4 linked regions of the Anolis sagrei genome follow. The protein of the gene in region 3 purifies or fractionates together with the protein of the main gene of each other region. This does not show direct contact. Links are inferred from orthologs where the notes say so. Each region holds a gene or a part of one and is shown on either strand. Other genes may lie near its edges.

The links.
Region 1: the proteins of MTA2 (region 3) and ZNF512B purify together in Homo sapiens (affinity purification with mass spectrometry; 3 studies listed by BioGRID and IntAct, with this or other methods). This does not show direct contact. The link is inferred for Anolis sagrei from reciprocal best matches to the Homo sapiens genes MTA2 and ZNF512B.
Region 2: the proteins of MTA2 (region 3) and CHD3 purify together in Homo sapiens (affinity purification with mass spectrometry; 8 studies listed by BioGRID and IntAct, with this or other methods). This does not show direct contact. The link is inferred for Anolis sagrei from reciprocal best matches to the Homo sapiens genes MTA2 and CHD3.
Region 4: the proteins of MTA2 (region 3) and BCL11A purify together in Homo sapiens (affinity purification with mass spectrometry; 4 studies listed by BioGRID and IntAct, with this or other methods). This does not show direct contact. The link is inferred for Anolis sagrei from reciprocal best matches to the Homo sapiens genes MTA2 and BCL11A.

The regions. Positions count from the first base shown.
Region 1 is NC_090024.1:238,132,219-238,139,746, forward strand, and holds the start of ZNF512B (zinc finger protein 512B), read left to right. Parts: upstream 1-4,512; 5' UTR 4,513-4,593; intron 4,594-4,653; exon of another isoform or gene 4,654-4,873; intron 4,874-7,528. UniProt on the Homo sapiens protein: Involved in transcriptional regulation by repressing gene expression. Associates with the nucleosome remodeling and histone deacetylase (NuRD) complex, which promotes transcriptional repression by histone deacetylation and nucleosome remodeling.
Region 2 is NC_090026.1:6,301,165-6,308,244, reverse strand, and holds the start of CHD3 (chromodomain-helicase-DNA-binding protein 3), read right to left. Parts: upstream 3,008-7,080; 5' UTR 2,677-3,007; coding exon 2,433-2,676; intron 1-2,432.
Region 3 is NC_090032.1:12,528,020-12,535,696, forward strand, and holds the start of MTA2 (metastasis-associated protein MTA2), read right to left. Parts: upstream 3,001-7,677; 5' UTR 2,864-3,000; coding exon 2,836-2,863; intron 1-2,835. UniProt on the Homo sapiens protein: May function as a transcriptional coregulator. Acts as a component of the histone deacetylase NuRD complex which participates in the remodeling of chromatin.
Region 4 is NC_090021.1:12,866,432-12,874,010, reverse strand, and holds the start of BCL11A (B-cell lymphoma/leukemia 11A), read right to left. Parts: upstream 3,007-7,579; 5' UTR 2,210-3,006; coding exon 2,155-2,209; intron 1-2,154. UniProt on the Homo sapiens protein: Transcription factor. Associated with the BAF SWI/SNF chromatin remodeling complex. Binds to the 5'-TGACCA-3' sequence motif in regulatory regions of target genes, including a distal promoter of the HBG1 hemoglobin subunit gamma-1 gene.

The sequences.
Region 1 (7,528 bases), on a different chromosome or scaffold from region 3:
AGTTGCCCACCTCTGCTTTAAATGCCAATATCAAGGACAATTTTGGCAAACAGCTATGGAAGCAGCCAACAAAACGTCTGTGCGCTTGTGATCAAACACATGCAAAAAAAGTGAATATGAAATGCAGATACATCCACCTACACAGATGACAGATGATTAAGTGAAGGATGCCTATCCAAGAAGTCCAAGGGGTGGGCTACAAAAAAGCAATAGAGCCCATATGTGACCTTAAGCCACAATTGTATTATTCTAGTTTAAATAAAGTAGGTTACTGGTGTTTACTGGGATTTGGTTCTGGGACACCCACCCCTCCCATGGATCCTGAAATCTGTGAAGGCTGAAGTCGCATTATTGATAAGGCTACAATTGAGGGAGTTCCTCTTGGGTGCTATGCAGGGCCACTCAGATGTCCAGAACATTGGATTGGCCCCAAATTAATGGTCAGCATAGAACAGTGGTTCTCAACCTGGGGTCCCCAGATGTTTTTGGCCTACAACTCCCAGAAATCCTAACAGCTGGTAAACTAGCTGACATTTCTGGGAGTTGTAGGCCAAAAACATCTGGGGACCCCAGGTTGAGAACCACTGGCATAGAAAGAGGCCATGGTAGCACATCAGTTAAAGCTGGTAGCTGCAGGAAAGGCTGCTGACCGGAAGGTCAAAAGTTCAAAGCCGCGAGTTGGGGTGAGCTCCTGACTGTCAGTCCTAGCTTCTGTCTCCCTAGCGGTTCAAAAGCATGCAATGCAAGTAGAGCAATAGGTATCACCTCGGCAGGAATGTAAATGGGTGCCCCATGCAGACATGCTGGCAAAAAGATCAGAGATGTCTATGGACAGCAAGCTCCTTCAGCATGGAAAATGGAACAAGAGCACCTCCCCATGGCTGGAAGTTGAGCATCACCTCCAGACACCAGAGATGGAAAAGGGGAAGTCCTTTACCTTATCTGTGTATTGTATGTCATTGTTTATGTCAAATGTAAAATGGCATTGAATGTTCGCCTGATATGTGTACTGTAATCTGCTCTGAGTCCAGGGAGATAAAGCAAAATATAAATACAGTATATTATTATTATTATTATTATTATTATTATTATCTCAGTCATCCACACTTTTTAAAAGTAATCTTTATTAAGAGTTTCCGTTAAAAGCAATAAAACCATGGAGAAAGGAGAAAAAGAAAAGAAAGGTAAAAGACAAAGAAAATACAGAAAGAAAAAAAGAGAAGGTAAGCAAAGAGAATAAAGTTAATGGATAGAAAGAGGTAGAAAAGAAAAAGAGAACACACACACACATAGTTAAGTAATATAGAATAGAAATAAAAAATAAAAAAAGTTTATTGACTTCCAATAAAGTGTATTATTATTATTATTATTATTATTATTACTATTACTATTATCAATCATCCACACTTTTTGAATGAGCTGGTGGAGTTGTGTCAGCTCAGGTCCACCGTCTTTAAAGATTTCAGCAGGGATCCCATCAGGTCCGCTGGCTTTGTTATTTTGTTGTTGTTGGCTGATGGTGTTGCTGACTTCCTCCAAACTAGGCAGTGCTGCAGGCTCATCCCTGATTTGTTGTTGCAGGATTTGTGGGAGAACCTCAAGAACAGAAAACAGAATGTTGGTGAACAGGAAAAAGAGGCTTAAAGCAAACCTTAAAAACTGTGGCATAGACACCAAGAACTGGGAAGCCCTAGCCCTTGAGCACTCTAGCTGGAGATCAGCTGTGACAAGCAGTGCTGTGGAATTTAAAGAAGCACGAATGGAAGGTGAAAGAGAGAAACATGCCAGGAGAAAGGTGCATCAAGCCAACCCTGAAATTGATGCCCTCACTGTGGAAGAACATGCGGGTCAAGAATGGGGCTAAACAATCACGTACATACCCACTGCCAAGACACTGCACTTGGAAGGCTATCATACTTGGACAATGAGGGATCACCTAAGTAGGACACAGTGGAGCAATGGATTCAAACTGCAGGAAAAGAGATTCCCCTTAAACATTAGGAAGGGAAAACCTGTTTGGCAGTAGAATGTGCTGCCTTTTAGGGGTCACCTTCTCTGGAGCTTTTGAAACAGTGTCTAGCTGCTGTGTCGGACTGGATGAGGGCTAACAAATTGAAACTCAATCCAGACAAGACAGAGGTCCTACTGGTCAGTCGTAAGGCCGAACAGGGTATAGGGTTACAGCCTGTGTTGGATGGGGTTACACTCCCCCTGAAGACTCAGGTTCGCAGCTTGGGAGTGATCCTGGACTCATCGCTGAGCCTGGAACCCCAGGTCTCAGCGGTGGGTGGGAGAGTTTTTGCCCAATTAAAACTTGTGCACCAGTTGCACCCGTACCTCGGGAAGCCTGATTTGGCCACAGTGGTCCACGCTCTTGTTACATCCCATATAGACTACTGCAACGCACTCTACGTGGGGTTGCCCTTGAAGACTGTTTGGAAACTTCAACTGGTCCAGCGAGCGGCAGCAAGATTGCTCACCGGAGCGACATACAGGGAGCACACCACCCCCCCTGTTGTGTCAGCTCCACTGGCTGCCGATTCAGTTCTGAGCACAATTCAAGGTGCTGGTTCTGATCTACAAAACCCTGTACGGTTCCGGTCCAGCGTATCTGTCCAAACATATCTCCCTCTACGTCCCACCCCGGAATCTGAGATCATCTGGGGAGGCCCTGCTCTCGACCCCACCGCTATCACAAGTAAGGCTGGTGGGGACGAGGAGCAGGGCCTTCTCAGTGGTGGCCCCCCACCTGTGGAACTCATTCCCAGGGGAAATCAGGGCATCAACATCCCTCCTTGCCTTCAGGAGGAAGGTAAAGACGTGGTTGTGGGACCAGGCCTTTGGGCACCCTGACAATTAGATACGGAAACCAGATGGATAGGACCGTATTCTCTCATGTCCCCGCGTGGGAAGCTGGAGCTGGCAGATGGGAACTGCCAGCTTTGTGGAAATCCAAAGTTCCAATTTGTGGAAATTGGAACTTAAACTATGAGTCTGCGAAACGCTGACCATCAATTGAGGTTTGTATTGATTTTAGTGCTTTTACTGCTTTTATTGGTTTTATGGTTGTTTTTGCCATTAATAATTATTGCTTTCTGTTAATTGTGACTGCTAAAACTGCTGTTTGTTAACTGTTGTTATTGTCCTTGCTGTTATGTAATGCGGGCATCGAATTGTGCCTTGCTTTTGTAAGCCGCCCTGAGTCCCCCTCGGGGTGATAAGGGCGGGGTAGAAGCAACCGAAATAAATAAATAAATAAACAGTGGCTGCTGCCTGGCAGAGGAACCATCTACTGCAATGTGTGGAAAGAATATGCCCATAAATCTTGTACTGCAAGAGTTTTCCTTCCCCAGTTCTTCTAATATTTGATAGCTTTAGTATACCCAGGAACTGAAGTTTTGTCTCTTTTGTATGAAGTCTGTACTTTTTTTGGTGCATTCTCCTATTTGGATTTTGAAGCAGTTCGGAGTCAACCTACAGTGGTGAAACAAACTCCAATGAAAATGCACAAAAGAAAGGACCTTCATGTTCACCAGTGCTTTGGGGTTTGTGTAATCACCACCTGGATCTCAAACTGGTTCCACGATTTCCTCTGCAATCCTCTGCACAGCGAAACTACTTTCTTGTATCAAAATACTGGTTTGAACAGGAGTCTCCAGTGGCGCAATAGGTTGAACCCTTGTGCCGGCAGGACTGCTGATAGTCGGTGGTTTGAAACCAGGGAGCGGGATGAGTTCCCATCTGCCAGGTCCAGCTTCCCATGCAGGGACATGAGAGAAGCCTCCCACAAGGATGGTAACACACCAGGGCATTCCCTGGGTAACGTCCTTGCAGACAGCCAATTCTCTCACACCAAAAAGGACTCAGTTTCTCAAGTCGTTCCTGTCACATACACACACACAATACAAACTGGTTTGAAACTGACTAATGTGGTCATTGCAGATCAGGCATGGGCAAATGGGCCCTCCAGGTGTTTTGGACTCCAACTCCCACCATTCCTAATAGCTTCAGTCCCTTTCCTCCCCCCCCCCCCCCCCAGCTGCTTAAGTGAGTGAGAGAGAAAGGGAAGGAGTCTGAGGCTGTTAGGATAAATAAATAAATAAATAAATTTCCTTCGCCTTGATTAGAAGGCTCCTTAGCTCCTCCTCGCTTTTGGCCATCAAAGTGGTATCATCCGCATAGCTAAGGTTGTTAGTGTTTCTTCCAGCAATTTTAACCCTGGCCTTGCATTTGTCAAGCCCCGCACATCACATGATGTGTTCTGCATACGAGTTGAATAGGTTGGGTATGACCAGGCCAGCATTATATCAATGTTAACTTGAAGTCCAAAACATCAAGAGGGCCTAAGTTGGCCCAGGCCAGCATTGTATCAGTGCTAACTTACTAAAGAGAGGCTGTGTGGCTCTCTGTTGGGAGGGCTTGGCTTGTGCCTTCCAGCCTAGCAGAATGGGGCTGGAATGGGGAAGAAGACAGTGGGGGGGGGGGGGTCCCTTGTGTTTCCAAGATCCTATGCCTCTAATTATCCTCGATTGGGTTTGAAGGAGAAAGAGAAAGAGGAGGCCAGAAGTACAAGTTCCTGCGAGGCTGTCAGAGGTAAACGAAAGAAGGAGGAAAAGGAAGAAGCAGGAGGAGGAGGAGGAGGAGGAAGGAGAGAGAGCGTGGGGGAGAAAAAGGAAGGGAGAAGGGAGAGAGAGGATCTGGAGCAAAGTGTGTGTGTGTGTGTGTAGGAAGAAAGGGGGGGGGGTCCTCCGCGCATGAGCCGCTCCGCCTGGGCGTCTTTGGCGTCGTCGCCGGTGCGCGTTGGCGCTGTTGGGGCCCCCCTGGAGCCGAGCAAAGAGAGAGGGAGAGGGCCCTGGCTCGCCCACCCGGCCAGGTAAGGCGAAGAGCCCCCTCCTCCTCCCGGCACAAGCCAGCCAGCCCCCTGCCCTGCTCGCTCGCCAGCCCCGGCTCGGCCTCGCCTTGCCCCCTGCGGCCTTTGCCCAAGCCCGGGCCCTCCTCCGCCTTGGCTTCCCCCTTCCTCTCTCCCCCCCCTCCCCCTTTTGCCTTTCAACCACGATTTGGACACACAAGCCCGGGCTGGGGAGACGTCTCCAAAGCAGAGCGAGAAGGAGAGCCATCGCGTTTCCTTTTCCCCTCTTCCTCCCTTTCTCCTCTCTCTCTCTCTTTTTCCCATCCCTCTTTCTCTTTCCCCTCCTTCTACATAAAAAAGTCGCCATTTTGCTTCATTGCTTTCCCAAGGCTTGGGTGGCTTTCATTATTTATTTTGCATGCCTGTCTCGAGATGGAAATTGTGGGTTCTTGTCGGGGTTGGGCACCCCAAGAAGAGGAGGAGGAGGTCGCGGCGCCCGAGTCCTTTGGCCTCCTCCTCCTCTCTCTTTCTCTCTCTTTCCCCTTTTATTTCCAGAGGAGGGAGGGCAGGATCTCAGGGTCCTTGGGGCTGGCAAGGAGGTCTTCTTCTCTATTTCCTTCTTTTTGCAAATCTATGCCCAATCTGCACAGTGTAGACAAGATTGCAACACAGTCACAAGCCTGCAGTCTCCATTTCCGCCTTGTGCCACTCCATTCACTCGCTCCCTTTCCCCCAATTCACACAGCAATATTGGGTGAAAAGTAGCAGTTTTTGTATCTCTTTCTTGCTTTCCTTCCTCCTTTCCCTTCTTTTCCTCACCTCACAGCTTATTATTTGGTGAAAGTAGCATTTTTTGTATCTCTTGGTTGCTTTCCTTCCTCCTTTCCCTTCTTTCCCCCACCTCACAGATTATTATTTGGTGAAAAGTAGCAGTTTTTGTGTCTCTCTCTTGCTTTCCTTCCTCTTTTCCCTTTTTCCCCCACCTCCCAGATTATTATTTGGTGAAAGGTAGCAGTTTTTGTATCTCTTTCTTGCTTTTCTTCCTCCTTTTCCTTCTTTTCCCCACCTCGCAGCTTATTATTTGGTGAAAAGTAGCAAATTTTCAGTTCTTGTGGGTTTTTTCGGGCTATATGGCCATGTTCTAGAGGCATTTCTCCTGACGTTTCGCCTGCATCTATGGCAAGCATCTTCAGAGGTCTGCTGGAGCTGGGAAAAAGGGGTTTATATATCTGTGGAATGACCAGGGTGAGACAAAAGGCTCCTTTCCTTTATTTTTCCCACATCACAGCTTATTATTTGGTGAAAAGTAGCAGTTTTTGTATCTCTTTCTTGCTTTTCTTCCTCCTTTCCCTTCTTTTCCCCATCTCACAGATTATTATTTGGTGAAAAATTGCAGTTTTTGCATCTCTTTTTTGCTTTTCTTCCTCCTTTCCCTTCTTTTCTCCAATTCACACATCAATATTTGGTGAAAAGTAGCAGTTTTTATATCGCTTGTTTGCTTTTTTCCCTCCTTTTCCTTCTTTTTCCCCACATCACAGATTATTCTTTGCTGAAAAGTTGCAGTTTTTGTATCTCTTTCTTGCTTTTCTTCCTCCTTTCCCTTCTTTCCCCCAATTCACAGATTATTATTTGGTGAAAGTAGCAGTTTCTGTATCTCTTTCTTGCTTTTCTTCCTCCTCCCCTCTCTCTCCTGTCTTCAAAAAAAAAATCCCAAATAGAAATAATAGATACAGATGGGAATAGATAGAAGCCCGCGGTTGCGCAGTGGGTTAAACTGCTGAGCTGCTGAATTTCCTGAACAAAAGGTTGCAGGTTCGAATCAGGGGAGCGGCATGAGCTCCCACTGTCAGCCCCAGCTTCTGCCAACCTAACAGTTTGAAAACGTGCAAATGTGAGTAGATCAGTAGATACCACTTCGGGAAGGTAACAATGCTCCATGCAATCATGTCGGAGCCCCCGGTGGCGCAGTGGGTTAAAGCCCTGTGCCGGCAGGACTGAAGACCGACAGGTCACAGGTTCGAATCCAGGGAGAGGCAGATGAGCTCTATCAACTCCAGCTCCTCATGCGGGGACATGAGAGAAGCCTCCCACAAGGATGATAAAAATATCAAATCATCCGGGCATCCCCTGGGTAATCTCCTTGCAGATGGCCAATTCTCTCACACCAGAAGTGACTTGCAGTTTCTCAAGTTGCTCCTGACACGAGAAAAAAAATGTCGGCCACATGACCTTGGAGGTGTCTGTGGACAATGTCGGCTCTTCGGCTTAGAAATGGAGATGAGCACCAACCCCCAGAGTTAGACATGATTGGACTTAATGTCAGGGGAAAACCTTTACCTTTACCTAGGAATAGATATTATTAGTCACTATTCATGCTTTTGTGGTTACTTTTTTGTAATGGCTGGAAGGGAACAATCAAACATGGTGCCTCTCAAAATGCAAGCAATCTGCACTTTAAGGAAAGCAAGCAAAGAAGAGGGAAGAATGGGGAAAGACAGGCAGGAAGCATTTGTGCTTTGGGCTGTTGTGAGTTTTCTAGGCTATCTGGCCATGTTCCAGAAGCATTCTCTCCTGACGTTTTGCCTACATCTATGGCAGGCATCTTCAGAGGTCATGAGGTCTGTTGGAAACTAGGATTTGCTTTGGATAGTTAGGGTTGGTTTGCATCTTTTCGAGGTC
Region 2 (7,080 bases), on a different chromosome or scaffold from region 3:
CAGATAACCTGGTATAAAGCAGACATTGTGGGATTTTCTGCCTTAATATTCTGGGATATAGGACTGTGTGAAAGGGCTCTGAGTTCACATTGTTGCCTGGACCCTCCCACAGAGTCATATAATCCAGAGTATCAGGGCAGAAAATCCCACCATATCTGCTTTGAACTGGGTTATAAGTCCACACTGCCATATAATACACTTCAAAGAAGAAAATGTGCCATTTATATGGCTGTATGACAAGGCCCTGAGTCCACACTGTTACCTGGACCCTGAGGGCCCTCCCACAGAGTCATATAATCCAGAATATCGAGGCGGAAAATCCTGCCATATCTGCTTTGAACTGGGTTATGAGTCCACACTGCCATATAATCACTTCAAAGAAGAAAATGTGGGATTTTATACAGCTGTGTGGAAGGGCCCTCTGGGCCTTCCACACAGCCCTATATCCCAGAATATTAAAGTGGAAAATCCCACATTATCTGAGTGTGGACTCAGATAACCCAGTTCAAAGCAGATAATGTGGGATTTTCTGCCTTGATATTCTGGAATATAGGGCTGTGTGGCAGGGCCTGAGTGATATGGCTGTATGGCATGGCCCTGAGTCCACACTGTTACCTGGACCCCGAGGGCCCATCCACACATATAAACCAGAATATCAAGGAAGAAAATCCCACCATATCTGCTTTGAACTCGGTTGTGAGTCCACACTGCCATATAATCCAGTTCAAAGAAAAAAATGTGGGATTTTATCAAGGTAGAAAATATCGAAAACCCACATTATAAATAATACAAATAAAGTGTATAATAATAATAATAATAATAATAATAATAATAATAATAATAATAAAGTTTCTTATTATCTGAGTGTGGACTCAGGTAACCCAGTTCAAAGCGGACATTGTGGGATTTCCTGCCTTGATATTCTGGGGCATAGGGCTGTGTGGAAGGGCCCTTAGCAAGTTCTGAAATTGTGGGAGTTGAAGTCCAAAACACCAAGAGGGCTGAAGTTTGCCCATTCCTAGTGTGTGGATGGGCCCACTGTTGCCTGGATCCTGAGGGCCCTTCCACAGTCGTATAACCCAAAATATCAAGGCAGATAATCCACAATATCTGCTTTGAACTGGGTTATCTGCCGTATAATCCAGTTCAGTGTGGCTTTGATACAGCTGCATAGAAGGGGTCTGACATAAGACAGATTCCTGTCCAAAAGAGGAGGCTTCCCTCTCCATCTCAAGGCCTGCTTGACAGGTCAAACTAGGCATGGGCAAACTTCAGTCCTCCAGGTGTTTTGGCCTTCAACTCCCACAATTCTAGAACTTACTAAGGGCCCTTCCATACAGCCCTATATCCCAGAATATCAAGGCGGAAAATCCCATAATGTCTGCTTTGAAATGGGTTATCTGAGTCCACACTTATAATGTGGGATTTTCTACCTTGATACTATGGAATAAAGGGTTGTGTGGAAGGGCCCTCTGGGCCTTTCACACAGCCCTATATCCCAGAATATCAAGGCAGAAAATCCCACATTATCTCAGTGTGGATAACCCAGTTCAAAGTAGACATTGTGGGATTTTCTGCCTTGATATTCTGGGATATAGGGTTGTGTGGAAGGGCCCTTAGCAAGTTCTAGAATTGTGGGAGTTGAAGTCCAAAACACCTAGAGGGCTGAAGTTTGCCCAACGTTGCCTGGACCCTGAGGGCCCTTCCACAGAGTCATATTACCCAGAATATCAAGGCAGATAATCCACAATATCAAGGCAGATAATCCACAATATCTGCTTTCAATTGGGTTATCTGAGTCCACACTGCCATATAGTCCAGTTCAAAGCAGAAAATATGGGATTTCATTCAGCTCTGTGGAAGGGGCCTGAGACTTTTAGCAGGCAGAAACTGAGAACTCTTGGAGGCTCAGAAGGAGAGCCTGGCAACTCTTGGGAACCTCTGAGTGGAAATGAGGAGTCGCTTAAAGAAGTGAAGAAGCGGCTGTTGCCTCGGACGGGACCACCACCCCCTTGGGAGGGAGAGGAAAACCCCAAATATTTCAAGACCAAGCCACCACAGCGTCGAAAGCCACCCGGTGGCGGGTGAGGCCATCCCCGGAGGAGGTCAAAAGGTGGGAGTGGGGGAGGCCAAGTGGGGGGGAGGGGGGTGAGGGGAAGGGGGAAGAGAAGCGCGCGGAGGGGGGAGTGTCGGGGGGACGGAACGGCGGGTCCCTCAACGGTCGGTTTGGAACCTTCGGCCGCTCAGCGTTCGAAAGCCGTTGGCTGTTGACAAACAGCCCCCACCAATCACAGCGCCCCCTTTCTCTCAGTAACCGGGGCAGATTTTGTTTGTCCCCTTGTTGCTGGGGAGATTAGGACTGGGGCAGTTTTGGCGCCAAAACCCCCTACTTAAGAGAGAGAGCCAGAGGGAGAAGCTTTGTTGATGTTTACCTGGCGGAGGCGGCGGTTGTGGCGGCAAGGCTGGTGCTGCGGGAGGGAAGATGTCGGCGGCGCCGCCCGGGCAACTGCTGCTGCTGTTGTTGTTGTCCTCCCTCCTGGCTTCTTCTTCTCCTGCTTCTTCTCCTTCTTCCTCCTCCTCCTCTTCCTCCTCCTCGTCGCCGTCCTCGTCGCCCTCCGCCTCAGACACCACCATCTCCTCCTCCTCCTCGTCCTCTTCCCTCAGAGGAGAAGCCATGGTGGCGCTGAGGGAGAGAAAAAAAATAGAAAAACAAGAAAGAAAGGAAGGAAAATAGCAAAAAAAATGGATTGATTGAGAAAAAATAGGGGGAGGGGGCACGACCCCCCCTTCTTCCTCCTCTTTTCTTCTCAGGTTGCTTCAAAAAGAATTAAAAATCCAATTTATAATCATTAAGTCTTTTAAAAAAACAATCCAGCATATCTCCTAATTGGATATGGTCCTTTCTTTCTCTAAAAAAAATTAATATAATATTTAAATTCTGAGGGATAATAATTATTTTTTCCCACCAGAAGAAGAAGCAACAAAAATGGCCGCCTTTAAATTATTTTTAAAACAAAAATGCCCCCCCTCTTTCCCCCCCTTTCTGTTCAATCCCTCCCTTTTTTTCTTCCTCAGGAGGTATATATGTATATATATAACTCCCCCCTTCTTTATATATATCTTTAAAAAAATGGCTGCCTTTTTAACCCCCTCAGGGTTAAAAAAAAAGAATAAGAAAGATTTCCCCCCCTTTCCAAAATAAAAAAAAAATCAGCTCCAAATTTTAAAAATTAAAAACAAAAGCTTCTTTTCTTCTTCTTCTTGCTCTTGGCTATATTTCCTTCTCTTTCTCTTTCTCTTTTTTTCCCTTCCTTTCTTTCTTTCTTTCCCCCCCAATCTCCTCTTAAGATCTGTGTGATCATGAACAATATTTAGACATTCCTGGCACTGGGGGGAAACTGACAAGATTTCTGCATAAAACAAAGATGGCTGCTCTAAATTATTTCTTTTTCTCCCCCCCCCCCTTTTCCCTCCTTATGCTCTCCCTCCCCCCCCCCTCCCTCAATAAAAATATTTTTTATAGGGAGGGGGAAGAGAGAGAGAGAAAGAGAAAAGGTTGGATTAATCAGTACTCATGCTCAGTTATGACATCAGCATAAAATTGTTAAAGGTTAACTAGTTCCATACTAGTCAGTCAGACTGTGACTTTTGTTATGTGTGTGTCTTGCTTTACCAGCATTCAAAGGAGAAAGAATAGGGGGTGTTTTATTTCCATCTCCCCCCTCCTTTCTCTTTTTCTCTCTCTCTCTAACTTTAAATACTTCAGAAGGGAGTGGTTTATTTCTCTCCTTTTTTTCTCCTCCAGGGCAAGAAAGGAAGAACAGAAAGAGAGGGGAGGGAGAAAAAAAACACTGATTACTGCAATTTATTATAAGATCCTATTCACATAAGGAGATTTTTTACATAAGATCCTATTCACATAAAGGAGAGTGTATACAGAAATGATTTTTGAGGAGTCAATTCTGATAATAATTCATACCCCCCTTTAAGGTATATATATATTGTTCTTTTAAAAAATAAAAATAGAAAGGTTTTGTTTATAGCATAAAAAAAATTAAGATCAAATTCAAGTGAAGTCTTTCCAAATCTCTTTGTTCCCAGCTGGGTTTTTTTTCTCACCAAAGAGATTTTAGGAATAATTTTGACCACAAAATCCAGCCCAGGGTTAAATTCAACTGAAACCAAAAATACCATGCATACACACACACCCATATATACATACACACACTTCTTGAACATGCTCGCGATCCCACCGGCGTCGCAAGCGCGGTTGGTGGGGACGAGGGATAGGGCCTTTTCTGTGGTTGCCCCCCGACTTTGGAACACCCTCCCCAAAGACATCAGATTAGCACCCACGTTGGCAGGCTTTAGAAAGAGCTTGAAGACCTGGCTGTTCCGATGTGCCTTCCCGGAATAGGAAACTTCAGCACTATGTCCTAGAAGCACTTTATTAGAGTTTTAAGATCCTCTGCACATTGCACATGCCCTGAAATCCAATATGCCGCCTATCACACCCAGCACTTTTTTAATCTGTACCCACTACTTGGCTCGGCCTTGGTTTTACTGTTTATGATGTAATGTTTTGTTGATATTGCTTTATGTTTTTGATATGCTTTGAGTTGTATTGTTTTATGTTGTTGTTATGTTGAGGCCTCGACCTTTGTAAGCCGCATCGAGTCCTTTGGGAGATGCTAGCGGGGTACAAATATAGTTTAATAATAATAATAATGACCCATAACTGGCTTCACCTCATTTCATAACTGTAAAAACAACACTAAAGGGAAACAAATATTAAAAATGAGGCTATTATAATATTTTAGACAGCCGCTGTGATTTCATATCAATGAGCCTTATTTTTAGTGAGTTATAGAATCATAGAGTTCGAAGACACCTCGTGGGCCATCCAGTCCAACCCCCTGCCAAGAATAAGGAAAATCACATTCATCATGTGAGTTTGAAGCATAAGTTTTCATTTGTGGCCACAGAGAAGAGGTCTTGACCCCTGGTGACAGGAATGTGTTCCAGAAGCGTAAGGAAACATTAAGGAGCCCTTGTTTTGCTGTTTAAATCTGGATTATTCACATTCTTTTTTCACTTTAGTGTCTGCCAAATCTGAGTAAAGCATGGCTTGCCATCCTACCAATACAGCAAGTAACAGAGGGTGTCAGTATTACATAACCTGTGGCTCTCCATGTATTTCTTGGACTCTAGCCACCCATTAATCACAACCAGAATGGCCAAGGATATAATGGCAGTGTAGACTCATATAATCCAGTACAATGCAGTTAATCCACCTTCCAAAAATGCATTATATGGCAGTGCAGATCCAGCTTTAAAAGGCCCAGCTTCTCTACTATAGCTTCTTTCGTAGTATCTAACATGGGTTTAAAAAAGGAAACATGTTCTTTCCAGCAAATTTGGGACTATTTTTTGATGACATAGGATTTTTTTATTTAGTCTCTTTAGGAGTTGGATTAGTTCCCACTGGGAGAAAGGTGGCAGACAAATTAAATAAATAAATACAATTATTATTTCATTAACATTAAAAAGCATGCTTAAATTGCGAATTTCAAAAATTACTACTGAAGATTGTAACACTGATCAATAGTGCTAACATTTCAGTATTTTCCTTTGCTGTGCTTCCTTTTCTTCCTTTTTTTTTAACCTGGCCTACGTTCCTTTCCTTATATGAAAGGAAAAAATATTTGTGGTCCTAAATATCATGTTGTTGAAAGATGATCTCACCAACATATTATCTATAAACAGTGAGTACCATTATTCTGGAGTAGTCCCATTTAGGACAATAGCTATGTTAAGGATTAATGTTTTGTGTCAGAGATAGTATGCATAAGATTTTCAGTATATGCATGTTTCTCTATTCTCAGTTCTTTTTTTTTAAAGTCCTGTATGTTTTGGAATTTAGAATATCTTCAATACACAGGCTTCAGTCCTATTGGTAGTTTCAAGTAAAGGTAGACCAATTGAGTCAAACCATCATCTTGTTGAGACAGTTATACAATAAGGCTGCCCTGGGGTCACCAAAACTGCAAATTGACTTCAAGGTACACAGTAATGAACCAAAGTTGAACCCTATCTTTGAGGACATAAATTGGCAAATATGCTTCCATTTTAACTTTGAAGGAATTAAAAAATGATGTCACATATTGAGGACACGTATGTGCTTTCAAATCGCCTATTGACATATGACGGTCTCTCCATTACTTGGATAAAAAAGCGATAAATTTCAAAATAATCTTTTCTGAATAAATGTCCTTCTATTATATCTTATCACATCCTAATAATTCCCAGTGAAGACAGTGGGATTGCAGCAATGGTGCGCTCTTTTTAAAAGGTTGGCCAGGATGGGAAGAAATCAAAGCCAATGCATGGTTGTTCTTTAGTGAACATGTTCAGCCTGAGCCGATCCTCCCCATAGACTAGTTCTAAGTGTCCACAGAGGAGTCACTGTGCCTGCAGGAGAAAGAGCTTGCCAAATGAACGTTATCCCCCATGTGGCTTTTATATTTAACGCAACACCCTCTGAAGCCCTCCAGGAGCTTGGGCGCCAGACCCATTCACTCACGTTGAAACATTTCCCTGGCAGTGCTGGAAGTCAGTGCTCGAAGGAAGAGCTTGGGAGGCTTTGTGCTATCAAAACCTTTTAAAATGCAATTTCCAGGCATTTTTCTCTTCCTGGTGGAAAGGAGAAAGATGAAACTGGTTGCAGCATCCTCTGATTTCAAGCCTGGAATGCAATCAGTTTGGAAGCATTATATTACTCATTGGTTCAAAACAAAGCCGCGAGAACTGGAGAAAAAAACCAACTTTTCCCACTAAGGGAAACCCCTTTTTGAATCTTGACCTTTGCTTTTTCTGGCTTGGTCCTCATTGCTCAAGGGAGCAGTCTGCAAAAAGGAAAACATCTTTTTCCTTCAGTCTCTTGCCTGCCTTTGATGCTTCTTCACAATGCAGTCAGCATCAAGAATCCCATCAAGGAATCTATCGCATTATTATAATGGTGTGTGTGTGTTTTTATTCCCACAGTTCAACTAACAGCATCTTGTCTTTCGAGATGGTCAA
Region 3 (7,677 bases):
GTCGTCGCATGGGGAGCCAGAGCTGACAGAGGAAGCTCATCTGCGCTGTCCCCGGATTCGAACCTGCAACCTGTCAGTCTTCAGTCCTGCCGGCACAAGGATTTAACTCATTGCACCACCAGGGGCTCCATAATACTAATAATAATACAAGATAATAATTATAGAGTATATATTACATGTAATAGTACTAATAATATTGCAGTATAGTGATATAGTACAATACAATAATATATAATACTAATATTGTGCTATGCTAATAATTATAATATATTGTATGTACATATATAATGGCGCTCCAAGCAGTCATGCGGGCCACATGACCTTGGAGGTGTCTAGGGACAATGCTGGCTCTTCGGCTTAGAAATGGAGATGAGCACAAACCCCCATTGTTGGACACAACTGCACTTAATGTCAGGGGAAAACATTTACCATTATTATGTACATATAATCATAATATTATAATATTGTAATACAATATTACAATATTGTATTGTAATACCATATAATAATATTGTAAAACAATCTAATATTACTAATAATACAATATTATAATATAATAATTATATTTTTTATATTACATGTAATTTTTACTAATAATATTCCAGGATAGCAGTATAGTATAATCTAGTTATGTATAATACTGATTTTGTGCTATTCTAACCTTCACTGGACCACACTAAATTTGACAACTTTTGGCCAGTTTCCAATCTCCCCTTTTTGGGCAAAGTCCTGGAACGCGTGGTGGCCTCACAACTCCAGGTATTCTTGGGAGACACGGATTATCTGGATCCGGCACAGTCTGGTTTCAGACCGGGACATGGAACTGAGACAGTCTTGGTCGCCTTAGTGGATGATCTGCGCCGGGAGGTCGACAGGGGGAGTGTGTCCCTGTTGGTGCTGCTGGACCTCTCAGCGGCCTTCGATACCGTCGACCACGGTATCCTTCTGGAACGCCTCGCGGGGATGGGTCTTGGAGGTACTGTTTTACAGTGGCTCTGGTCTTTCCTAGAGGGCCGATCCCATAAGGTGTTATTGGGAGACACCTGTTCAACCCCACAACCTTTGTCTTGTGGGGTTCCACAGGGCTCAATATTGTCTCCCATGTTAACATCTACATGAAGCCACTGGGAGAGATCATCCGGAGTTTTGGGGTACGGTGTCATCTGTACGCAGACGATGTCCAACTCTGTCACTCCTTTCCACCTGCTACTAAGGAGGCTGTCAAGGTCCTGAACCGGGGTCTGGCTGCTGTAACAGTCTGGATGAGAGCGAACAAATTGAAACTGAATCCAGACAAGACAGAGGTACTCCTGGTCAGTCGCAAGGCCGAACAGGGCATAGGGTTACAGCCTGTGTTGGATGGGGTCGCACTCCCCCTGAAGACGCAGGTTCGCAGCTTGGGTGTGATCCTGGACTCATCGCTGAGCCTGGAACTCCAGGTTTCGGCGGTAACCAGGGGAGCATTTGCACAGCTAAAGCTTGTGCGCCAGCTGCGCCCGTACCTTGGGAAGTCTGACTTGGCCACGGTAGTCCACGCTATTTATTTATTATTTATTTATTTACTGCACTTGTAGACCGCCGTTCTCAGCCCTAGGGCGATTCACGGCGGCTATGGTTACATCCTGTTTAGACTACTGCAACACTCTCTACGTGGGGTTGCCTTTGAAGATGGTTCGGAAGCTTCAACTAGTCCAACGCTCGGCAGCCATGATTCTAACAGGAGCAGAGTGCAGGGAGCATACAACCCCCCTGTTGCGCCAACTCCACTGGCTACCGATTTGCTACCGGGCTCAATTCAAAGTGCTGGCGTTGGCCTTTAAAGCCCTAAACGGTTCTGGCCCAAGCTACCTATCCGACCGCATCTCTGCCTATGAACCCACCAGGACTTTGAGATCATCCGGGGAGGCCCTGCTCTTGATCCCGCCTGCCTCACAGGCACGGCTGGAGGGGACGAGAGATAGGGCCTTCTCGGTGGTGGCCCCTCGGCTGTGGAACGCCCTTCCCACGGACATTAGACTAGCTCCATCATTAATGGTATTCCGCAAAAAAGTGAAAACCTGGTTGTTTGAGCAGGTGTTCGAATAGTCAGTGCAATGAGTGTAATGAACATAGGAATGGAACAATGGATGATGGATCTGGATCATGTTTTTTAGTGACGAGACGCTAGTGAATGGCTATTGTTGTTAATTGTATATTACTGTATAATGTGTTATGATGTTAACTGTTTTTTATGCTGTGTTATTGTAGCATTGAATTTTTGCTGTTCTTGTTGTGAACCGCTGTGAGTCGCTTAAGGGCTGAGAAACACTATTTCTTGTGATACACTACAGTAATTAACACACCTTGATTTCCATAATACCAGGCATGGGCAAACTTGGGCCCTCCAGGCTGCTAGGAATTATGGGAGTTGAAGTCCCAAACACCTGGAGGGCCCAAGTATGCCCATGCCTGATCTACAACGTACAACGCCAACAGGCAAGGAGTCAACTAAGCCAGGCTTCTCTTTTCTTGTCAATTCTTTTGAACCAGCCATGACATTTGCCCCCCCCCCCTTTTTCCCCCGCCCTCGTATTGAGACGCCAAGGTCTTTGCCCCGCTTCCTGAGCCTCGGCCCTGGCGCCAGGCTTCTCCCCACAGACCAGGCCCATCTCCACCGCCGCCCACAAGCGCCCCGAACTCCTCCAGGCCGAACTCCGGAGGCGCATGCGCACTCCCTCGCCGCTTCCCCTCAGTTCCCGATCTCTCCTCCCCCTCCGGCTCCTTCAGGCGCCCCTCCCCCCTCCAGCGAGCCCCGAGGAGCCCCCTCCCTTCCTCCCGCTCCTGCTCCGGCCTTACCGCCCACCCGGTACATATTAGCGGCCATGGCGCCTCCCGGACTCCGCCCGCCTCGGCCAAGCCGCCTCAGGAACTCCGGGCCCGGCCGCGCTCCATCCCCTCCCGCCTCCGGTGGCGTCGTCGTCGCCTCTCCTTCCCACGCAGCGAGCGCCGACCAAGCCTTGAGCCCTTCGTGCATTTCCGGAATCGCTCGGGTGAGCTTCGGGAATCTCCGGAAAGGATTCGTTCCTTGCCGTAGAATGGCGAAGCCTGAGGCCAGCGCTCGGCGGGCGGCGTTCGGTTTTGGTCGATTTTCGCTGTTAGGGGGCCTCGTGAATCTCCGGAAAGGATCGGCCGTTTCCGGCTATAAGGTTGCACCTTTCGTTTGTGATCGGAGCCAGAATTTTTTTCCCTATTAGAGAAAGGAACTAAGGCTTTGTTGTTCGACTTCAAGGCGTTCCCGACTTCTAGCGACCTTGTAATAGCGCATCAGTTGGAGCTCATTTGAGGCTGAGAGAGTGTGACATGCCCAGGATCACCCAGTTTTTTTCTCCTAAAGAGACTCCAGTGATAAAAAATACAACACTTACATCCTAAAGAAAATAAACATCAACATAGAATTAAAACTATTTACATTTTTATTTTTTATTGTGTCAGAAGCTAGCCAAGGATGCAGTTGTAATGTATTTAAAAACACAAAGTTAAAAACTTGGCATTGTGCTAAATTTGCCACTTGGAATACCTCTGGTGTTGTTGAGAGAAGGCCCTCCATTGTGCATGTGGCAGGGCTCAGGTCACATTGTAGTACGTCATCTGTGGTTTGCTCTTCTCCACACTCGCATGTCGTGGACTCCACTTTGTGGCCCCATTTCTTAAGGTTGGCTCTGCATCTCGTGGTGCCAGAGCGCAGCCTGTTCAGCACCTTCCAAGTCACCTAATCTTCTGTGTGCCCAGGACGGAGTCTCTCATTCAGTATCAGCAATGGATTCAGGTTCTGGGTTTGAGCCTGCCACTTTTGGACTCTCGCTTGCTGAGGTGTTCCTGCAAGTATCTCTGTTGATCTTAGGAAGATGTTTCTTGATTTAAGGCATTGGTAACTGGCTGATATCCAAACAGAGGATGGGCCGGATATGTCACTGCCTTAGAATCATAGAATCCTAGAATCCTAGAGTTGGAAGAGACCTCGTAGGCCATCCAGTCCAACCCTATTCCACCAAGAAGCAGGAAAATTACATTCAAAGCACCCACAACAGATGGCCATTCAGCCTCTGCTTCAAAGCCTCCAAAGAAGGACCTCCACCACACTCTAGGGCAGAGAGCGAGTTCCACTGCTGGACAGCTCTCCTTACAGTTAGGAAATTCGTTCTCATGTTCAGGACTTCAAAACCTTTTTCCCACGTCCTGCTGATATCGAGCTGCTTTTAGGAGGATCTTCCGAGCCGAGGAGATCCTGAGGACCACACCAAAGAGAGTCCTTGAACCTTGGTGAGGCCAGCGAAGCCAATTTCAGCAGCAAAAATATTTAAAATAATAAATCCTCACCAAAGCGGAAGAAGCTGGGACCGAGGTGTCTTTATTAGCGATTCAGCTGAAATCAGATGTATTGTAGGAATAGTTCCACTACAAGCATAGCAATACAGAATTTTACTGGCATTTTTAAAGAGAAAATACAGGTTTGAAAGTTTCAAAACTCCCTCCCTCTTTGGCTCCTTAGCAAATCAGGGAGAGGGAGGCAGGACGGAAGAGGGGCATTGTTTTGTCCAGTAAAAGTTGATTTTATTAAGAAAGGTTTTTCTGCCCTTGATGGGTTTTGGTGAAGGAAAACAAAGAGGATCGGGGCAGGGGACCTGGGGGGGGGGGGGATCAACCCTGCCCTTTGTGATTCAATCAAAGTGTCCAGATAAACTTCCTTGCCTGCCAGACAAAGCAAACAAGAGGAAGTTTCAGCTTGCTACTGTCCATGCAGAGGTGAAATAATCAAATAAGAAAGGGAGGTGGTGGTTCTCCCTCAAGCATTTCAACAGTCCTGGGTCACATTTTCTAGGGCAAAAGGCAAAGGGGAAAGGCAATATTTCATAGCAAGATACATACATTCAAATCATAAGCATTTCATAGCAACAAAACCCCATTTTTGTCCCACATTCCAAGTATATTTAATAAGAGAATTAATTTTCATGAAGAAGCCTGAAGTCCAATGTTTTAAAAGGTCTTTGAGGAAAGTTCATGAGGGAGATAGTATGTACTGAAGTCCAAGATATGCAGGCAGAGAGTCCATGATCATTGGGAAGGCTGGCAGATGAAACCCCAGCTGTGCTGCAACTGATTCACGCTTCTGGAAACTACAACTCTCACAAAGGACAGAAGTCCCAAGATCTAGCCATTTCCCAAAAGCCTCGTGGGGTCCTTGTTGTTGTCAGTGCCTTGGCAATGTGACCAAGACTTAACCCTTGTTGTGTAGTCTGGTGCCCTTGCCCTTTGCAGAACTATAAGTCACTATCCCTTATTTTTGGGGGGGGGGGTGCTCAACATCACTGCTGTCGCGCCAGGCATCGTCCCCCATTTTGTCTCTTTGCATTTCCTTTTTTCTGCCTCGGTGGAGTGTCTTGCATTTGTCCCTGTTGAACTTCATTGTGTTTTGTTGTTGTTCGTTTGTTCAGTCATTTCCTACTCTTCATGACCTCATGGACCAGCCCACGCCAGAGCTCTCTGTCGGGCATCACCACCCCCAGCTCCTTCAGAGTCAATCCAGTCACTTCAAGGATGCCATTTATTTATTTATTTATTTCTGTTATTTATTTATTTATTATTTAAACTTATATGCCGCCACTCCCCTGGGGCTCGGAGCGGCTTACAAGAATAGCTAAAATCTAACAAAGTTTAAAAGCAATTTAAAACAATTTAAAAACAACAGTATCAAACATTAAAAGCCTGTCGAAACAGGTATGTCTTACATGCCCTGCGGAAAGCTGGTAAGTCCCACAGGGCACGAACTTCAGGTGGCAGAGCATTCCAGACTGATGGCGCCACTGCTGTGAAGGCTCTGCATCTGGTTGCCATTAGACGCAAGGCCTTGACACTGGGGACTTCCAATAGATCTTGGTCCTCAGAACGGAGGGATCTCTGGGGTTGGTAGGGGGTGAGACGGTCCCTCAGATACATTGGCCCCAGACCATGCAAGGCCTTAAAGGTGAGTAACAACACTTTGTTACTTCTACCCCGCCCTTCCCACCCCAGAGGGGGACTCAGGGTGGCTTACAAAAGCACAATTTGATGCTGCCAACATCAAATTGTGCTTTTTAACAATCAGTTTCTGCACTGCAACAATAAAACCAATAAAACCGATTTCACCTAATTAACGCTCAGTGTTCGCCATCTCATAGTCCAAATTCCAATTCCACTTTGTCAGTCCTGTCAGTCCTAGTCATCTAATTGTCTTTATCTAGTTGTCAGATTGCCCGAAAGCCTGGTTTCCATCTAGCCCTTGGTCGGCCCCTCCTCTTTTTGCCTTCCATTTTCCCCAGCATCATTGTCTTCTCTAAGCTCCAGGTATTCTTAGTAGACATGGATTATCTAGACCCAGCACAGTCTGGCTTTAGGCCGGGACATGGTACCGAGATAGTCTTGGTCGCCTTAGTGGATGATCTGCGCCGGGAGCTCGACAGGGGGAGAGTGTCCCTGTTGGTGCTGCTGGACCTCTCAGCGGCCTTCGATACCGTCGACCACGGAACCACTGCTGTTTCTACTGTTTTTACTGTTTGTGAACCGCTGTGAGTCGCCTTCAGGCTTGAGATACAGCGGTATATAAGCAAAGTGGTCCACACCTTAGTTACCTCTAGATTGGACTATTGCAATGCCCTCTACGTGGGGCTGCCCTTGAAGACGGCCCGGAAGTTTCAACTTGTCCAACGGGCAGCAGCCATATTATTAACTGAAGCGAATTACAGAGAGTGGTCAACCCTCCTGTTTAAGGAGCTCCACTGGCTGCCATTTATCTTCTGGGCCCAATTCAAGGTGCAGGTTTTACCCTACAAATCCCTGAACAGTTTGGGACCCACCTACCTGCACGACCGCATTTCCGTCTATGAACTCACACAATCTCTTTGATCTTCCGAAGAGGCCCTTAGTTCGCTCCCGCCTGCATCGCAACTGCGACATGTAGGGACGAGAGAAAGGGCTTTATCTGTGGTGGCCCCCCGGCTCTGGAATTCACTCCCCAGAGACATTAGGCAAGTTCCCACGCTGGCAATCTTCAGGAGGAATATGAAAACCTGGTTATTCCAATGTGCCTTCAATGATTGAATTTAAAATACTCCCTCCCAAATTTCGCACAAATGACCTCAGAAGCACTTTATTTTATGGTTCGTGCAATGAATTCCTTCCTCAATCCGGATCTCCCTCCCCAACAGTTTCCATTGCCTAATCTCCCAGTGTTTTAAAATTTTAAATGTTTAATTTTTATCCTTAAATCTGGCCTTGCCTGTGCAATTTCTGTGTGTTTACTGTCCAATTTTATACTGCTGTCTCGTTTATTATTTAGATTTTGCATTTTATGTTTTCTAGTTCTGTTATGCCTTGTGTTATATTGTGTTATGCTTTTGTGTTATATTGTGTTATGCTGTATTGATGGGCATGGCCTCATGTAAGCCACCTCGAGTCCCCCTGGGAGAGATGGAGCGGGGTATAAATAAAGTATTATTATTATTATTATTATCTCAGGTGGGGTATCACCTGAAATAAAAACCATAATTTCGCTATATATATGTAATATACTGTAGAACTGTATTTAATAAACCAAAAACTAGTTACTTAACTTATCTGCTTAGTTGTTTCTTTGTTCATCCATCAGTCAGTTTCTTTTGTTGG
Region 4 (7,579 bases), on a different chromosome or scaffold from region 3:
TTGCTGGTCTAGATTAAGAGAGAGATAAGCTAGATCTGGAAAGGGGATGCGAGCCACCTCCGAGGAGGGCTGCTCTGCTGGCTCTGCTCTTTCTCTCCCCTTGGCTTTTCCCCCTTCCTTTCTTTCTCTCTTTCTTTCTCCTTCTCTCCGTCTTCCTCTCCTCAGTGGCAACGCTCCGCCGCTCTGTTTTGCTGGCAGCCGCTCCGCCGCACACGCGGCAAGCCTTGTAAACAACGCCGCGCACGAGATTTTTCCCTTTTTCCCCCAATCACAATCCACGGCCACTCTTGAAAACCTTCCAAAGAGGGAAAATTGCACACGAGAGAGGCATAGGAAGGGAGGGAGGGAGAGGGGGGAAAAAAGAAGGGAATCCCTCCTTTAGAGAGGGAGCTGGATGCAGAAGCAAGTGGTGTTTATGCTTCTCTCTCTTTCTGACCAAGTTTGGGGTGCAAAGGAAGGAAAGGGGACCCTCCATTCATTCAGAGGTCTCTCTCTCCTCGAGTGGGTGCTTTCCCAATCCTCGCCTTCACCCTTCAAGACAGGATACACACATTGTATTCACACACACGCTCCTCTCAAGTTTGTTTATGCTTCTCTTTTTCTGCAAAACCTGGAGTTTGGAGGGTAAGAGAAGGAAGGAAAGGGGAGCCTTCATTCACTCTGAGGCCCCTCTCTTCAAGTGGGTGCTGTCCCAACCCTCCCCGTCGCCCTTCAAGCCAGGATGCACGCACTACACACACACACACCTTAAGTTTGTGTATGCTTCCTCTCTTTCTGCAAAACCTGGAATTTGGAGGGCAAAAGAAAGAAGGAATGGAGATCCTTCATTCACTCTGAGGCCTCTCTCTTCAAGTGGGTGCTTTCCCAATGTCGCCCTTCAAGCCAAGATGCATGCACTACACACACACACACACCTTAAGTTTGTGTATGCTTCCTCTCTTTCTGCAAAACCTGGAGTTTGGAGGGCAAAAGAAAGAAGGAATGGAGATCCTTCATTCCCTCTGAGGCCTCTCTCTTCAAGTGGGTGCTTTCCCAATGTCGCCCTTCATGCCAAGATGCATGCACTACACACACACACACCCCTTAAGTTTGTGTATGTTTCCTCTCTTTCTTTTGGAGGGCAAAAGAAGGAAGGAAAGGGGATCCTTCATTCACTCTGAGGCCTCTCTCCTCAAGTGGGTGCTTTCCCAACCCTCCCCGTCGCCCTTCAAGCCAGGCTGCATTCAGCACACACACACCTATTAGTTTATGCTTCCTCTCTTTCTGCCAAACCTGGAGTTTGGAGAGCAAAAGAAGGAAGGAAAAGGGACCCTTCATTCCCTCTGCGGCCTCTCTCTTCAAGTGGGTGCTTTCCTAACCCTCCCCGTCGCCCTTCAAGCCAGGATGCACGCACTACACACACATACATATACATACACACACACACCTATTAAGTTTGTTTCTGCTTCCTCTCTTTCTGCAAAACCTGGAGTTTGGGGGCCAAAAGAAGGAAGGAAAGGGACCCTTCATTCCCTCGGAGGTCTCTCTCTTCAAGCGGGTGCTTTCCCAACCCTCCCGGTCGCCCTTCAAGCCAGGATGCACGCACTGGAGAGGCGCACACAATGCACACACACACACACCCCGTTCCACGCGTCTCCAACCCTTTTCCTTCCAGAGGCGCGACTCCTTTGCGCGCCTAGAGAAAGAGAGAAACGCAGAGCTCGAACGAATCAATGGGGCGAAGGAGGAGGGAAAGGAAAGAAAGGAAAGGAAAAGGAGGGGTGGGAGAAGAGAGAGAGAGAGAGATCCAGAATGGGGAGGGAAAAAAGGGGGAAGCGGGACTTGAGAGGAGAAGAGAGGCAACTTTTCTTTTTCCAGAGCGCGAGAGAAGAAGGAAAAGAAGGGAAGGTCTTCGAAAAGTAAGCCAAGGGAGAGATGGAGTTGTTTCGGAGCGGAGGAATGAAAAGGGAACTTGGGAGAAGTAGGGTTGGAAAGGAATGAATGAATGGGAGGCGGGTCTGGGTTGGAGGTTTGTATTATTTGGGTTTCCCCCCCCCCCCCCAAAGAATGGAAGGAAGGTAGTGGAGAGCGAGGAGGACCCGCGCGCCGGAGTCCAGGTGGGAAGCCAGCCCGTGGGCGCCGGAGGAGTGCTCGCCCTTCTCGCGTGTTACTTACGTGAGAATCCCCGCTTGCTTAAGTGCTGCGGCTTGCCTTGCTTGCGGCGAGACATCGCGGAGGGGCGGCGGGAGCGCTGGCGCTGGAGATGGAGGAGAAGCAGCAGCAGCAGCAACGGCGGCAGCAACGTTGGCAGCCCTCCTCCTTCTTCCTCTCCTCTTCTTCCCCTGCTTCTTCTTCTCCTTCTTCTTCCCCGGCTCTCTTCCGCCTCCTCCTCCTCCTCCTCACATCCCTCCCTTCCCGGCCGAGCTCTTCATCGAGCGCCTTTGACATCCAAAAATAAATTAGAAATAAGAATACAAAGATGGCGCGGGGAAGATGAATGGTGGTGGTGGTAGCGGTGGTGGGAGAGCAGGCATGGCTTGGCTTTTTCTCTTTTTTCTTTTCTTTGCTTGGCTTTTTCTTTCCGTGCTTCTTTACAGAGGAGGAGGAGGGAAAGAGAGAAAGAGAGAAGGAAAGGAGAGGAAAGGAAAGGAAGAAGAGAAGGAGAGAAAGAGAGAGAGAGATGAGGGGGGGAAAATGGCAAAAGCCCCCCTGAGCTGCAAGTTCAAGTGCGGACGTGACGTTCCCGACGAACTTGAACGTCAAGCGCCTGGATGGACACAGACATACAAAACATGGGCAGGGCGAGGAGGAGGAGGAAGAGGAGGAGGAGGCGGGAGCCCAGGGAGGGAGAGAGAGAGAGGGAGGGAGGAGGGAGAAAGAGAGAGAGAGAGAGAGCAGCGCGCCACGCCAATGGACGGACACTCCGCGGGGGATGGACAGGGCAGGAGCCCCAGAAGAGAAGAGAAGAGGAGGGAGAAGGAGGGAGGGAGGGAGAGAAAGAGGCAGGCAGCCCGGAGGAGGCGGAGGTCGAAGCCGAGGAGGAGGAGGAGGGAGAGGCAGGCCGGCGGAGGGAGCAGCAGCAGCAGTAGTAGGGCAAGCCAATGGCCAGCGGGGAGGAGGAGGAGGAGGAGGAGGCGCACGCCGGGCAGGAGCAGGAGGAGGAGAAGCAGGAGGAGGAGGAGGGCGCCAAGGGGAAGCCCAGTGCCCAATGGCAGGGGCACAAGTCCTAAGCACCTGGAGGGTCGAAGTTTGCCCATGCCTGGGACACCCATGCCTGGGACAAAGGGTGTCTGGGTGGGTAGGTGGGTGGGTTGGGGGGAGTCTCAGTCTGAGGGTACAGCCCCTCCGAGGACTTTAAACACGAAGGGAGAGGGCGTCCGGAGAAGAAAGCGCCCCAAAGAGGTGTGCGTCAAAGAGAGGAAAGAGTGGCCAGGGAAGGAAAGGGGAAAGAAAGGCGGGTTGTGGGCACCTGAGAGGAGGGGAAATAGGGCGACGGGACACTCCTAGAGGAGGAGGAGGGGGAGAAGGGCTCGAGGTTTTCAGAGCGATCCCCCTCTTTTTATATATATATAAAATCCATAAAAAGATTCCATTCTTCCTTACCTTTTCCTTCCTCTTACTTTTCTCTCCCTTCCTACTTTCCCTTCTTTCTTTCTCTTACATTTTCATTCCTTAATTCTTTCCTTCCATGCTTGCTCTTACCTTTTCTTTCATTCCTCTTTCCTTTCCCTCTCTCCCTTCCTACCCTTCCTTCCTTCCTTCCTTCATCCTTTCCTCTTACTTTTCCCTCCCTCTCCTTTCTTTCTTTACTTCCTTTCTCTTACCTTTTCATTGCTTAATTATTTCCTCCCATGCTCGCTCTTACCTTTTCCTTCATTCCTATTTCCTTTCCCTTTCTCCTTTCCTTTCTTCCTCTCCCTCTCTACCTTTTCCTCTCTCCCTCCCTAACTTTCCCTTCCTTCCTTCATCCCTTTCTCCCTTTCTTCCTCTCCCTCCTTAGCTTTCCCTTCCTTCCTTCCTTCCTTCATCCCTTTCTCCCTTTCTTCCTCTCCCTCCCTACCTTTCCCTTCCTCCCTTCACCCGTTTCTCCCTTCCTTTCTTCCTCTTCCTCTCTCCCTCCCTACCTCTTCCTTCCTTCCTTCCTCTTACTTTTTCCTCCCATCCTTCCTTTCCTTTCTTTCTTTCTCTTACCTTTTCATACCTTAATTCTTTCCTTCCTCGATCGTTTCCTTCCATGCTTGCTTTTACCTTTTCCTTCATTCCTCTTTCCTTTCCCTCTCTCCCTTCCTTTCTTAGATTTCCCTCTCTCCCTCCCTCCCTTTCCCTTCCTTCCTTCCTTCCTTCCTTTCTTCCTCCTTTCCACTTACTTTTCCCTCCCTTTCCCTTCTTTTCTTTCCTTGCTCTTACCTTTTCCTTCATTCCTCTTTCCTTTTCCTTTCCCCCTTTCCTTCCTTAGATTTCCCTATCTTCCTTACTACCTTTCCCTTCCTTCCTTTATCCCTTCCTCTTACTTTTCCCTTCCTACCTTTCCCTTCCCTTCCTTCCTTCCTTCCTTCCTTCCTTCCTCTTACCTTTCAGTTCCTTTCTTTCTTCTTTGCTTGCTCTTTCCTTTTCCTTTCTTCCTTCTTTCCTTCCTTCCTTTCTTCCTTCTTCCAATTACTTTTCCTTCCCTTCCTCTTACCTGTCCCTGCCCTTTCTTCCTACCTTCCCTTCCTTCCTCTTGCCTTTTCATTCCTTTCTTTCTTGCTTGCTCTTTCCTTTTCCTTCCTTCCTTTTCCTTCCTTCCTTCTTCCAATTACTTTTCCCTCCCGTCCTTCCTACCTTTCCCTCCCTCCCTCCCTTGCTCTTACCTTTTTTCCTTCCTTACTTCCTTCCCCTTAATTTTCCCTCCTTCCCTCCCTTCGTAGCTTTCCCTTCCTTCCTTAATTCCTTCATTGCTTGCTTGCTCTTACCTTTTCCTCCCTTACCCTTCTTTCCTTGCTCTTTCTTACCTTCCTTCCTTCCTTCCTTCCTTCCTTCCTCTCCTCTTACTCACAAGCGTTGCAAAAGTCTCTGTGAGGTGACCAAAGGAAGAGGTGAAGGGTTTGGGGAGAGGAGGCGCGGGAGGGGGGGGGCAAGCCCGGGGGGTGCTTGCTTTGGGGGGGGGGGGTCTCCTAGCACTTTGCCCCCCCCCCGGCTCCCTCCTTTGGTCACTGGGGGGGGGACCTCGGGAGGGGAAGGCAGAAGAGTTGAAATAGGCATGGGCCAACTTGGGCCCTCCAGGTGTTTTTGGACTTCAACTCCCACAATTCCTAACAGCCAGTAGGCTGTTAGGAATTGTGGGAGTTGAAGTCCAAAAACACCTGGAGGGCCCAAGTTGGCCCCCATCCCTGCAACCAGGTAACGTTGCCACATGTCCTGTACAGGATCCCCACTCCCTCTCCACTGGGAAGGGGCTGCTCTTCCACAAGAGAGGCCCACCAGGACCCCCTTCTCTCCCTCCTTTCCCAATCCTGAGCCCCTTTACCTATTCCCAGGGCTCCACATGGGATTTAACGCGGGTTAGCTACCCTTTGAAGAGTGTCGGGCGGTAGTATATAGCTAGGAGGTTAAACCTGGTGACCGAAATTGTGTCAGATAAAATCCAGGGGTCTCGTGACTGGCTTTTCCCTTTCTTTTTGGAAAAATAAAATATTTGCAAGGATGGGTTGAGAACTCAAGGTGTGTGTGAGAGAGAGACACACATTCTAAATGGGACCGACATCAACCCGCTTTAGGAATCGTTCTGTTGCAATCCAAAACCTTCAGGGAAAGCAGGATTGCTTACCGCCCTCTTTAACGGGGGATTAAACCCTTGGCTGTGAGTTTTCCGAACCAGGTTCCAGAAGCATTCTCTCCTGACGTTTCACCCACACCTATGGCAGGCATTCTCAGAGGTTGTGAGGTCTATTGGAAACTAGGCAAGTGGACTGTGTAGTATATATGTATGTGGGATGTCCAGGGTGGGAGAAAGAACTCTTGTCTGCTTGATGCAGGTGTGAACGTTGCAGTTGGCCACCTTGATTAGCTTCGAATAGCCTCGCAGCTTCAAAGCCTGGCTGGTTGCTGCCCGGGGGGAATCCTTTGTTATATCTGTGGGATGTCCAGGGTGAGAGAAGGAACTCTTGTCTCCTTGAGGCCGGTGCGTCGGCCACTTTGATTAGCGTCCAATAGCCTCGCAGCTTCAAAGCCAGGCTGGTTGCTGCCCGAGGGAATCCTTTGTTATATCTGTGGTATATCCAAGGTGGGAGAAAGAACTCTGGTCTGCTTGAGGCAGGTGTGAATGTTGCAGTCGGCCACCTTGATTAGCATCGAATAGCCTTGCAACCTCAAAGTCTGGCTGGTTGCTGCCCGAGGGAGGAATCCTTTGTTATATCTGTGGCATGTCCAGGGTGGGAGAAAGAACTCTTGTCTGCTTGAGGAAGGGGTGAATGTTACAATCGGCCACCTTGATTAGCATCGAATAGCCTTGCAGCTTCAGAGCCTGGCTGGTTGCTGCCTGAGGGAATCCTTTGTTGGGAGGTATTAGCTGGCCCTGATTATTTTTTTTACTGCTCTGATTACTGTTACTGAACCCAACAAAGGATTCATCCCCAGGCAGGAAGCAGCCAGGCTTTGAAGCTGCCAGGCCATTAAACGCTAATTGATTCTTGTCTGGAATTTTATTTTTTTTAGTGTTGCTTTTTATTTACTGTCCCGATTTTAGAGCTTTAGCTTTCTCAGAGCGCAGATAGGGCTGTCATAATCCCGAGTTCATCGCGCGATAGTACTGGGAAGAGGCTGGGGATGTTTTCCGAGTGGGAAAGTGCAAAGGGGTTCCTTTTCCCAGTAGACTTTTGTGGAAAATCGAATTGTTTGTGAGTCAGTATTCTTCTCAAACCTTGTGAATGTCCAAATCTATCCCCAAACGAGGTTGTGTGTGCGTGAAACTGTCCTGGAAGCGTCCCTTCAAACGTAAACAAACAGCAGTAATTCAGATTGTCGGGAAAGTGCGGCCAGAAGAGAAGGAACAGCTACCTGTTGTGCTTTCCTTTAGGGAATCCCCATTGGCTTGCCAACCTTTGCATTTGGCATTGGGAAAGAAAGCAAACAGAGGAACCCAGGGACACTTCTTTGGAGAAAGGTGTAAGGAGGATGGATTTTGCAATTTTTGAACTAGGAAAATCGCGGTTTGTGCACTTATGGTGATCAGGGAGAGGCCGAAGAGACCCCTCTCGTGCTCCCCAAAAATGTCAAGGACGAACCCCACTGGTTCCCCGAGGTGGAGAGGCACCTGAAGCGAACGCGGGTGGAAAAGACCCAGTGGGGTGAAGCTGATCGTGGAGACAGGCAGGCAGGAAGGAAGGAAAACACCTGCTTACTCGCCACCTTTGCTGAAATGGATGGAGAGAAAGAACAAGGAAGAGAGGGAAAGGAAGCGGAAACAGGGACAAAGCAAAACAAAAAACCTTCATTGGAAAGGGAAATCAGAGAAAAAAACAGGAGTGGAAAGAAGGGGGGAAGTTGGCCCACCCTGAGCCAACTTCGGCCTTCCCTCCAGGTGTTTTGAACTCCAACTCCCACAATTCCGAACTGCCCATGC